3 linked regions of the Rattus norvegicus genome follow. The protein of the gene in region 1 interacts with the protein of each later gene in a biochemical or structural test. Links are inferred from orthologs where the notes say so. Each region holds a gene or a part of one and is shown on either strand. Other genes may lie near its edges. The genes, in order: Smad2, Ski and Zfyve9.

Region 1 (4,275 bases):
TTGCATTCATGATTTCTTTAATAACGATGACATCTATAACATTTAAGTTTTCATTTATAACATGTGAGTTGGTATTATGATGGCAAAGGCTTTGGATTTGGAGTAGAGCTGCATTTGAAACTATGACTGGCTTGCATCTGGGGCGAGCTACATCTTTCCCATGAGAAGAGTGGTGGAGATTTTGAAAGCCTATCTAAAAACCTGTTAAGTCTGGAGGGAAGGGCAAACAACTCAAGGACCACATAAAGGCCCCTGCTCTGGATGCCCTCACATCTGAGGAGAGAGCATGCTCCACTCCTAACTGCTTCGCACACTGTGTTGTTACTCCTGCACTCCTCTGTCGTGCTCATGAGGCTTGCTGGACTAACTTGCCTCTCCCAGGAATCCTATGAAGAGGTAGCTAAGTATAGATGGGCATGACCAACAGCCAAGCAAACTGCGTTCTGGTATTTTCTTTACCACTAGCAACCTGAAAGAGGCATTTCAAATTTAGGTTTATTATCCTAACACAGTCTTTCATCTGCCAGGGTTGAGTCAAAATCAAACTGCGGGTAGTCCTAAATTTGGGAACTTGGTGAGAAGTACGGGTCTAGGAACAGGGGCACAGTTAGGGACATGAGCTAGGGAGAAGCCAGCAAATCAAGGAGCACTCATAGTTGCTCATGCTTCACAATGAGCATTCGAACCAGCTATCACTAATAGTTCTACTTCAGAAGAACCTACGGCTCGGGTTGGAGAAACACACCCAAGGAGGGGCCCAGCCCTAACACCAACCCCACGGACAAGAACCCTAGCTCCGCAGTTTTCGCCACCCGCCCCCAGGGCGCGGCCCCGCCCACTTATTTGCATAGGGCGCGCCCCTCAGCGGCCAGCACCCTGGCTTCTCCAGAGCTTTGCCAGTCCAGCGACTCAGACCCGGCTGGGGGCGGGCCCAGGCCCGAGCACGTGTCCATTCCGGCCTCACGACGGAGGTGGGCGAGGGCTTAGCCGCGGCGCTCCACCCAGAGGCGCCAGGGCGGGGGTCTGCGGGCGTGGCACGCTGCGCGGCCTTCCGCGATCCTCCCGGAGCCCGGTGGGAGCGCGCCGGACACGAACTCAAGCGCAACCGCGGGCGTGCCACCCAACCCGGCCTCGCCTCGCCTCACGCTCGACGGGGAAGGCGGAACCAATCAGCGAGCGACGTTTCCCTTCCGATTCCAGGCCCCCGACGCGGTGCTCACACCCCGGGCTCCCCGTTCGCTGATTGGTTGCGCGTGCCGCCGGTCGGGCCGGAGGCGGGAGGCGGCGGCCCGCGCCTGCCCGCGCCCCGCTCGGCCCCCGGCCCTGCCCGCGGCGCCCGGCCTCCTTCCGTCCCTGCCGTGCTCCCTCCGTCTTCCGTGCGCGCCCGCTCGGCCGGCGTGCCTCACGCCTAACGGGCGGCCGCGGGCGCCAATCAGCGGGCGGCAGGGTGCCAGCCCGGGGCTGCGCCGGCGAATCGGCGGGGCCCGCGGCTCGGGGAGGGAGGCGGGGCTACCGCGCGCGGCGGTGGAGGAGCAGCTCGCTCGCCTGCAGCTCGCGAGCGCTGAGCGAGCCGCCCGAAGGTAGGTGCGCGGCGGCCGGGGCGGAGGGCGGCGGCGGCGCGGGGTGCAGGCAGTGCCGGGCCGCGGGGCCGCGCCGAGTGGAGCAGGCGGCTCCCTCCCCAGCCGGCCGCGGTGAGCGCGGGCCTGGGGGCGGGGCGGGGGCCCGCGGCGCAGTTCCGCCTGCGCGCGCCCACTCCTCCGGCAGCGCGGAGCCCGTCGGAAGAGGAAGGAACAAAAGGTCCGGGGCCCGGCTCGGACGGGCCGGGACCAGGCGCTGGGTGCAGGTAAAGCCGGGGCGCCCGGGGGACCGGGCAGGGGTGTGCGGGGCCGGGTCACGTGGCTGCCCGTGTGGGGTGTGGCGGGCCGTGGCGCGCGGGCCGGGGTCGGCGCCGTGGGCAGGGCCCCGAGCCCCCGCCCCGCCCAGCCTGGCTGCGGCCCGCTTCTGTCCCGGCTCGCGGCCGCTCTCGCTTTGCGTTGCAGAATGGCTCCGGAGCCGAGTTAGGGGCGTGTGGTACTTTGCTTCTACTTTTTCCTTTTTTTTTTTTTTTTCTTCTTTCCTGTGGCCTTTGTTAACCGTAACAGTCGTGGGTTCCGAATCATAGTGTGCACTCAGAAACACGCTCGTGGCTGAGGCTGCCGGGCTCATCCTCCACGCACTTGGGAAAGTTGCTCCGTGGGTACTGCCTATTAGTTTCTAATCACACGCCTTTAGGAAGCATGCTAATTGAGTGCACTTATTTCAGACTTGGTTTTCACAGTCGGTGCTTGGATTATTTTCTTCTAGGAATACTGTCCTTGGGCCCCAGGTACTTTTGTCCTCTTACCCTTGCAGGTTAGGGTTTCCTTGTGAATCTAAACAAAAGAAAAATAAAAATCGAGGTTGGTTTTGTTATTCATTTCTTTTACACTTAAAGGCAAACGCTACCTGTTTGTTGTCACACCAATTTAAAAACAAAACAAAACATGTGAAATAGTTCAGCAGCATTCCACCTTATTGTTATGCCTTGTTGGGGAATTCTAAACGGCGGTGTTCTTAACTAATGAAATGACATATGTAAATAAATGTAACCTGAAGGTTATCTTTACAAAAATGGCACCCTGGAATGTCAGTTTCCAAAATCTCTTATTTCTAATTCCATGACTTAACCCCATACCGCTAATAGAAAGGATTTTTCTCTTGAGCCTAACACAAATACATTTGCTGCCATGCTGGGAATATCTTTCCTATTAGTTTACTTTGGTTCCTGTAAAAAGCAATTTCCCCCTTTACAAAGAAGTGTTAAGTAGTTAAAACGAAGTTGGAATAGTTTCAATCCATGAGTTAGTGAAGCAGATGGAATCCAGACATGAGAGAAGCAAAATGTATTATAGTTTTAAGGTTTTTATCCCTCTCCCATTTAGTCATAAAGAGATTTTTTTCTAATTCATTAGGTCATTTAGCAAATGTTTATGTTGAATTCATAAAGTAACATCGATGTTATTTTTAAAAATTATTTTGGCATAAACTTACCTGTGGAGGTAAGAGAATTTGTTGTGGTCTTAGGACATTTTTAAACTGAGTGCCCAGGTACATGCTTAATGTTACAAAATAGTTGACTTACCTACGTTTAGGGTCCTCCCTGGCCAGGCTTAATCACTGGACTAGGATTATAAACCTCCTTGTGTTCCTTAGCAAGACACTACTCTAATACTGTTGGTTGCAATTTTGTAGGTACACCTGAAGTGATTTCATATTGAGAGTGTTCTGCAAAATTTGGTCTTTGGGGTTCTGAGGTACTTGTCAGTAAATAGCTATGCACCCTGTGTGGCTCATAAAGTCAGTGTTGGGAGAAACTGCAGAGTAACTTCCCGTTGGGCTTGGTTGTGTGGTTTAACTCATATTAGGACTGTTGGGGATGGTTTTCTGTATAGCCCTTTCCTTTGTGTATACATATAGGATGATGCTGCAGTAGTCAGTACTATCATTAGGGAGGCTGAGTGAACACACAGGCAAACGTAAGTAGTTTAGCTGCATGAACTGGTGCTTAAGGACCTTTTGGGTTTTTAGATTTGACTTGTGGGCCTAACCGTTTCCCTTCGTGCTTGGTTTGGATGCTGTTGGCTGAATACTTTGGACTCCAGAAACCACGTTTGCAGCAGCCTTTTTATCCAGGTGCTTTTGTAATGCATGCAGGAGCTGTATATAGTGTAGTCTGGCAGATGGAGGTTTATTCATATTCTTGGGACAAGAATCCTTTTTAGAGGGTGGAGAGAGGCATATCTTTTTAGATGCTTTGTCTGGGTAAAAGCAGAAGAGACATTTTTAGGCCCTTGGTTTCTGTGAGTGCAAAGAAGTTTTCTACTAAGTATTGCAAAGGTGTATCAGAAACTGACTATAAAGAATTCAGTATCACTTTATTGGACAAGTAATACGTACTTACACAATAAACTTTCTGTGGCTAGTCACAACACTTCTCAGTGGAATTAGGAAAATAAAAATCCTGTGTCTTCTGGCCAAAGGCCCCAAAGTAAGGAGGTTAATTATGTCAGAGCATAAGCTGAGCTTGAGCACTCATAATTCATCCAGAGCCACTTCCTGAAGCTATTTGCATTGCTCTCTGTCAGGTGTAAAGGACGGCACTAGGAGGGACGGATGGGCTGTGTTAGCTCCTATGACACTAAGAACGATGTCCGATGTCCAGGTTGGGGTGGGGGAAATGCCTGGCACTTTTTGCAG
Region 2 (4,179 bases), on another chromosome or scaffold:
ATAGCTACTAGGTACAGCTTCTTCAAGGCAGGATTCCGTTCCAAAGTTCCCACCTCACTCAACAGGGTCCAGTAGACAGATGTTGCTGGTACCTATGTCACTGGTGAGAGACTGGATCACAGTTCATGGGGTAGTCCATGTAGCCTGCTTTCCACAGCTGTTTTTCTTTCTTTCTTTCTTTCTTTTTCTTTTCTTTTTTTTCGGAGCTGGGGACCGAACCCAGGGCCTTGCACTTGCTAGGCAAGTGCCACAGCTGTATTTCTTATGCATCTCAGCATCCCCATGTCATGCTGTGAGCTCCTAGGTTCTGCAAATCCTGTGTCGTTCTTGGGTGCAGAATTCTGTATATCAAGTGGTATTCTCTCTACACATGGAAACCCAGAAGTACTTTGTGCAGTCCTTCTGCAATGGAGACCTTGGGTGGTTCTTTGTGAGGTTCTGGTTGTGTAGGCATATGGGGTTTTGTGCCATCTTCTCATCATAGAGTAACCTGGCGTGAGTGTTCTGTGGTGTCCTTTATGTAACCTGGGATGCGCGTTGTGTTCCCCCTATCATATGGAGACAGGGGTGTGTGGAGACCGTAGGGTGCCTCGAGACGTTCTTGTATCAGAACCCGAATGTTTTGTGGCATCCTTGCTATGAGGGAGGGAACCTGGGTTTTGTTCTATGGTGTCCTTGTTACGAATGTCTCGTGGAGCATGACTTCCAGCAGTGGGGGGAGTGAAGGTTACTTCGGAGTGTCTCCGTAGAATGGGGACCCCGGGATGAAGGGCGGCAGCGGAGATCTGCTGCGGACCGCCACTCAGCTGGCCTGTGGTTGTGGCGGGGGCCTTGTGGGTTTCGGGGGGCCCCCAAGACCGTGGTGGCAGCAGGACCGGAGTCTTCCCAGCCGCGCAGGAAGCGGCCTCGGCCGGAAGGGGGGCCCCAGGCGCCTCCGCTGTGGCCGCCTCCAGTGGCCTCCACAAGGCGGGGCCGAGTAGGACCGAGTAGGGCCGAGCGGGGCCGAGCCCGGACCGAGTAGGGCCGAGCAGGGCCGAGCAGTGCCGAGAGGGGCCGAGCTACGGGACGGGGAACCCGAGCGGAGTCGACCTGTGGGCGGACAAAGCCGAGCTTGGCCGAGTTCGGTCCGGGCGTAGCCGAATGCCACTGAGCCCGGGAGGGGGAGCGCGCGTTCTTGGAAGAGCCTGCCCAGAGCTGGTCACATTCCTGGCCCGCACTCCGGCTGAGGCGGACGCACAGCAACAAACAACGCGGGAGGCGGGGCTGGCGCGGGCGGGGCGGGGCGGTACGGGGCGGGGCGGCGCGCGGCGGCGTGAGCTCAGCTCCGGGCGCTCAGTCCGAGCCGGAGCGAGCCGCCGGAAAGATGTGCGCTGAGCGCGCAAAACCCCGCGCCGCCGCGGCGCTCTGAGGCCGCGGGCCAGAGGCGCCTCCGCCGTCCGGGAGCCGCGCGCGCGGGCCAGCGGACGGCCGGGAGCCGGCAGGCGGCCGCGCGGGCGGGCAGGCCGCCAGGGGCCGGCGGCGGGCGCGACGCGGCCGGTCAGCACCGCCGGGACGAGCCGAGCGGGCGCCGCGCGGTGGGAGGAGCGGGGCAGCGGCGGCGCGCCGCGCGAGGACGGCCCGGCGGGCCCCGCGCCCGCGCCCCCGCTCCTCCCGGGCCCCTCGGCCTCGGCTGCCGCGGCGATTCGCGCCTCGCGGCGCCGGCACCTGCCCGCGCGCCCCCCGCGAGCCCCGGGCCCGCGAGCGTTGGCGTTGGCGTTGGCGGCGCGCGCCGGGGCATGCCCGGCGCCTAGAGCCCGGGGGGCGCGCGGGGGGCGCGCGGGGGGCCCGGGCGGCGGCGGGCGCGGCGCGGGGCGCGTGGATGTGGCGCCGGGCCCGGGCGGCGGCGGGCTCCAGCGGCGGGACCCCTTCGCCCCGCCCGCCTTCGCCTTCGCGCCCCCGGGAGAGGCCGAGGCCGGGGCCGTGATCGGCCGTGAGCCGGCGACGGGGGGCGGTCGTGGCCGCGGTCGCGGGCGGCGGCGGGGTGCGCGGGGCGGCGGCGGAGGCCGTGGGGGCCCGGGCGCACGGGAGCGGGAGCGGCCGGGGGAGCCCGATCGCACCATGGAAGCTGCAGCGGCCGGCCGGGGCGGCTTCCAGCCGCACCCGGGGCTGCAGAAGACGCTGGAGCAGTTCCACCTGAGCTCCATGAGCTCGCTGGGCGGCCCGGCCGCTTTCTCGGCGCGCTGGGCGCAGGAGGCCTACAAGAAGGAGAGCGCCAAGGAGGCGGGTGCGGCCACAGTGCCGGCGCCGGTGCCCACTGCCGCGGAGCCGCCGCCCGTGCTGCACCTGCCTGCCATCCAGCCGCCGCCGCCCGTGCTTCCCGGGCCCTTCTTCATGCCGTCGGACCGCTCCACCGAGCGCTGTGAGACCGTGCTGGAAGGGGAAACCATCTCTTGTTTCGTGGTGGGAGGCGAGAAGCGTCTGTGCCTGCCGCAGATCCTCAACTCGGTGCTGCGCGACTTCTCACTGCAGCAGATCAACTCGGTGTGCGATGAGCTGCACATCTACTGCTCGCGCTGCACCGCCGACCAGCTGGAGATCCTCAAAGTCATGGGCATCCTGCCCTTCTCCGCGCCCTCCTGCGGTCTCATCACCAAGACGGACGCGGAGCGCCTGTGCAACGCGCTGCTCTACGGCGGCGCCTACCCGCCGCCTTGCAAGAAGGAGTTGGCGGCCAGCCTGGCGCTGGGCCTGGAGCTCAGCGAACGCAGCGTCCGCGTGTACCACGAGTGCTTCGGCAAGTGCAAAGGGCTGCTGGTGCCCGAGCTGTACAGCAGTCCTAGCGCCGCCTGCATCCAGTGCCTCGACTGCCGCCTCATGTACCCGCCGCACAAGTTCGTTGTACACTCGCACAAGGCCCTGGAGAACCGGACCTGCCACTGGGGCTTCGACTCAGCCAACTGGCGGGCCTACATCCTGCTGAGCCAGGACTACACGGGCAAGGAGGAGCAGGCCCGCCTTGGCCGCTGCCTGGACGACGTGAAGGAGAAGTTCGACTATGCCAACAAGTACAAGCGGAGGGTGCCCCGGGTAAGTGTCTCCGGGTCTTGGGAGTTGGCAAGCTATGCCCAAGGTGGGTGGGTGGGTGGGGTCCTTCTGCTCTGGGGACTGTGGGTTGTAAAGGCTTGGGGCTCATGGTTCGACCTTATCTGGCTTTGGGTTGTTTTGATTTCGGAAAGTAGGGGTCTCATCAGTTTCTTGTGGGAAAGGCCATGAGGCCACCTTCGTGCTGTCTGTTGAGCTGCACCTATGGAGTAGAGTGAACGGGAAAGCCCTCTGAGGGCTCATAGTCCTCGACCGTACAGGTTAAGTAAGCTCTGAAGGTCTGAGAAAGAGGCCACCTTAAGCTCTGGGAGGTTAGAGTACCTGGACTCTAGAGGCTGTGACTTTCTGGCCCATATCTCCATGGGACCTTGGCAGAGATGTCCCCATGAGAATGAAGTTTGCCCCCTTTCTCTCTGACTGATGACCGGGAGGGATGCCTTCCTGTGAGCCTCAGCTGACTATCCATACATATTTACTGCCTCTCCGGTTTTGTCTTTAAATCGTGGGGCAGGGACAGCTAAAGTGAAGCAAGCCAGTTGTCTTGGCAGAGACCTGGCACTTGCAACCCCCGAGTTGTGCTCGGCCGAGGCTACTTTGTCGTGGTCAGTGGCCTGGCCTGCGGGAGTTGCTGATGGTCTGCAGTTTACTTGGACTCACCCATTTCCTTCTGTTGCTCTTCTTGCTCGGTGTGGAGGCCTGTCAGCCCAGGCTGTGTTGTATGTGAGTCAAAGAAAGCTTTGTGAGATCTGCCTGGGCATTTCCTGGGCCACTTGGTACCTAAATCATTCACTGGAGTCCACAGGAAGTTTCTTTGCATATGCATCCTAAGTGTCTTTAACTTTTAAATATCCAGGCTTATTAAATTGCACACACAGAATGTTGCATTGGCTCAGCTATTCTTGGGAGACCTAATTAATTCAGCTATTGCATCAAACTTTTTTTTTTTCTAAATCTGTGAATAGATGCTGCAGCCCGGTTTTCTCTGGGCGCCCCTCCAGCAGAGTGTCAGAGTTGTGGGGGGAGGGGCTCTGAAGAAGGATGGTCGCCTCATTCTCTGGGGGCTGCAGAGGGAGTGCATATGCTGTGTGTTCTAAGGCA
Region 3 (3,578 bases), on another chromosome or scaffold:
TTTCAATCTAATAACACAATTAAATTGACATAAAATTCATTTGTTGTTTGTTTGTTTTTGTTTTTTTTTTCTTTTTCTTCTTTTTTTCGGAGCTGGGGACCGAACCCAGGGCCTTGTGGTTGCTAGGCAAGCGCTCTACCACTGAGCTAAATCCCCAACCCCATTTGTTTGTTTTTTAAGACAGGATTTCTCTATGTAGCCCTGACTGTCCTGGAGCTCACAGAGATCCCCCTGCCTCTGCCTCCTGAGTGCTGAGGTTAAAGGCGTGCACAACCACTGCCCAACTATGTTATTTGAAATGTTCTGAGGCATTATCATTTGTTGACAGATAATTATAGGGCATTGTCTTAAATGTTTTTTTCTTATGTCTAGCTAAAGATTAGATACTGTCATATTCTGGGGACATTTTCTCCAAAGCATAGTTGGAAATATCTGTCAGGTAACCCTAAGTAGCTTTTTACTGTTACCAGCAAACTTACTGTAATTACTTTTTTTTTTTTTCCCCTTCAGATGAAACAGTTTCTCCTACTTTATTGGATACAAAGTGGAATAAGATTTTAGATTCCTCTTCTCATCCATTGTCTTTTAACCCTGCATTAGCCAATGTGAATGAACCTACAATTTCTAATGAGACAGGACCACAGCGGAAAATCTTTTCTCTTGCTGGCTCAGCTCCCCTTACAAGGGAGGGAAAAGGTCCCTGTGCTAACGGACAGGACGGTAGTCTAAATCCAGAGATTGACACGATGTGGATTGATGAAAATGCTGTGGCAGAAGACCAACTAATTAAGAGAAACTACAATCAGGATGATCAATTTAGTGCCGTTGAAGTGGGAGAGGAGAAACGTGGGAGCCTCACTTGTCTGCCAGACGAGAAGAATGTTCTGGTTGTAGCTGTCATGCATAACTGTGATAAAAGGACACTGCAAAGTGATTTGCAGGATTGTAATAACTATAATAGTCAATCCCTCATGGATTCTTTTAGCTGTTCACTGGATAATGAAACTAGACAAACTGATCAATTTAGTTTTAGTATGAATGGGTCCGCAGAAAAAGGTATAAACTCAGAGAAACAAATGGATGCTTTGAATAAACCAAAATCAGAGAGGGATTCTCTTAATCATCTCTGCGCTGCTTCAGCTAACAGTGCAACCAGTATCTCTTCCTCTTCACAATTAAAGGACAATGAAAATGTAGGTAGAGACCCATCTACATCTACAGCTACAAGCTTAGCAATTAATACATCCCAGGGAATGGATGGAGGGCCTGCCATTAAAAAACAAGAGGATTATATGCCTGATGAGGACCTTTCTGGCGCAAACAGCTCTTCTAGGACAGATCTAGGGAGCTCAAACTCCTTTTCCCACTCAAGGGAGGAGCTCTTAACAAAAACAGAGCCAGCAGAGGAGAGGACAGCTGAAGACCCCCTCCCATCTGGTTTATCTTTGAATCTCAAGCCAGATACTCCTGCTTTATGTGGAAGGGACAATTGCGAACCATCCTCAGACTGCCTTGTGTCTAGTGAGACTAGAACTGATGGAGATGGAGGTAAGGACTCTCAGACGACTCACTGGGACTCAGCAAAGCTAAATGAGGTGGATGATCGCCAAGGAAGTGAAGAAAATCAAGTGGTTTTACAGATCAGCCAACCTGAGGACCCTCAGAGTGCAGGAGAGTGTGTTAGAATGGCAGATTCAGATCTAGATTTCAAAGGAACTTGCTTGAATGAAAGTGAAGGATATGATTTCTCCACTGTTAGTGATGCACCAGCAGCAAATTCTCTGTCTAATAGTTGTGATTCCTATGGAATGCAGAGCCCAATTGTATCTTTTGTTCCAAAGACTTTACCCTCCAAAGAAGATTCAGTAACAGAAGAAAAAGAAATAGAAGAGAGCAAATCAGAATGCTACTCAAATCTTTATGAACAGAGAGGAAATGAGAACACAGAAGGGAATGGACTGCTTTTAAACAGCACTGGAACTATAATGAAGAAAAATTATTTACATAATTTCTGTAGTCAAATCCCATCTGTACTCGGGCAATCTTCCCCCAAGATAGCAAACCTGCAGTCTATTAGTGTTCCTTTTGGTGGTGCAAGACCCAAGCAACCTTCTAATCTTAAACTTCAGATTCCAAAGCCATTATCAGACCATTTACAAAATGACCTTCCTGCAAACAATGGAAATAATAGTAAAAACAAAAATGATATTCTTGGGAAAGCAAAACTAGGGGAAAACTCAGCAGTCAGTGCGTGCAGTGCAACTTTGGGAAACATCTCTGTGACTGATACAAATGGGGAACATTTAGAAAGTTTCGAGGCTGACATCTCCAGTAGACCATGCCTTGCATTATCTCCAGATAGTCCAGATAATGATCTCAGAGCTGGTCAATTTGGAATTTCTGCAAGAAAGCCATTTACCACCCTGGGTGAGGTGGCACCAGTATGGGTACCAGACTCCCAGGCTCCGAACTGCATGAAGTGTGAAGCTCGGTTTACATTCACCAAAAGGAGGCATCATTGCAGAGCATGTGGGAAGGTAAATTGCATTTATCAGTTCAGGAACTTGCCGTGTTTTGTAATGATGAACCAAAAATTAAAGCAGGATTAGGTGACTGTACTTCTAGTTTGAGATGACCTTATAAAAAGCCTTTGAAAGCCCAGTCTTAGTATCTGTATAAAATATGAGCTGATTGTGGGTGTCTTTTTTTTTTTTTTAATTGCTGTCAGAAAGTATGCTGTCTCAGTTTTCTGTGAAGAAAAGAGAATTGAGAATTAAGGAAGTGTTTACTCTGTGGTCTTTACATTTGTAGCTGTTTGTAGATACATGATTAATGGGATGGTTTGAAATAAGGATGTTGTTCTTTCAACTTAGGACATATTTGTGATTTACTTTTTTGTTGTTGTTCTCTATTTTTGTTGTTGTTTTTATATTTTTGAAAAAGGGTATGGCCATATAGCCGTGACTGATCTGGAGGTCCCTTTGTAGAGACCAAGCTATCCTCAAACTTGCATCAGTTCTCCTACTGTTTACTTAGTGTAATGATTACAGACATTACAATCCCTGTGGTCAGTGGTTGATTTTATGATATTTTATAATTAAACATTAACTTACAGTCAAAATTTATCCTACACTCTTTTTTTTAAAAGATATGGTTATTTTTAATGAATGTTCTACCTTCATGTAAGTGTGTATGTGCACCTTGTTTTGCCTGGTGTCCACAGAGCTCAGAGGGAGGCATTCAGTCCCTTGGAACTAGAGTTATAAATGATTGTGAGCCACCATGTGGGTACTGAGAATTGACCCCATCTCCTCTGCAGGATCAGTGAGTGCTCTTAACTGCTGAGCCATCTCACAAGCCTGATCCTGTACTTGTTTTTACATAGAGTTTTTCATGTACCAAATGTTCTGAAGGTTTTTATAAATACATACACATATTTTCTCCTATATGACTTTAATGCAAATATTTAAAGGCTATAGATCTTTATTCTTATTAAAGATATATGAATAATTTAATATTCCTTAGCTCTCTCCAAATTCTGTTAGGAACACAATTTTTTAATACTTATTTGTATTTGT

The links.
Region 2: the proteins of Smad2 (region 1) and Ski form a complex in vitro, tested with the Homo sapiens proteins (4 studies listed by BioGRID). The link is inferred for Rattus norvegicus from reciprocal best matches to the Homo sapiens genes SMAD2 and SKI.
Region 3: the proteins of Smad2 (region 1) and Zfyve9 are reported together in a solved structure, tested with the Homo sapiens proteins (2 studies listed by BioGRID and IntAct, with this or other methods). The link is inferred for Rattus norvegicus from reciprocal best matches to the Homo sapiens genes SMAD2 and ZFYVE9.

Annotation. Positions count from the first base shown.
Region 1 is NC_086036.1:72,123,921-72,128,195, forward strand, and holds the start of Smad2 (mothers against decapentaplegic homolog 2), read left to right. Parts: upstream 1-1,423; 5' UTR 1,424-1,580; intron 1,581-1,658; exon of another isoform or gene 1,659-1,843; intron 1,844-4,275. UniProt on the Homo sapiens protein: Receptor-regulated SMAD (R-SMAD) that is an intracellular signal transducer and transcriptional modulator activated by TGF-beta (transforming growth factor) and activin type 1 receptor kinases.
Region 2 is NC_086023.1:171,062,113-171,066,291, reverse strand, and holds the start of Ski (ski oncogene), read left to right. Parts: upstream 1-1,334; 5' UTR 1,335-2,097; coding exon 2,098-3,066; intron 3,067-3,144; exon of another isoform or gene 3,145-4,119; coding exon of another isoform or gene 4,120-4,179. UniProt on the Homo sapiens protein: May play a role in terminal differentiation of skeletal muscle cells but not in the determination of cells to the myogenic lineage. Functions as a repressor of TGF-beta signaling.
Region 3 is NC_086023.1:128,692,355-128,695,932, reverse strand, and holds part of Zfyve9 (zinc finger FYVE domain-containing protein 9), read left to right. Parts: intron 1-510; coding exon 511-2,537; intron 2,538-3,578. UniProt on the Homo sapiens protein: Early endosomal protein that functions to recruit SMAD2/SMAD3 to intracellular membranes and to the TGF-beta receptor.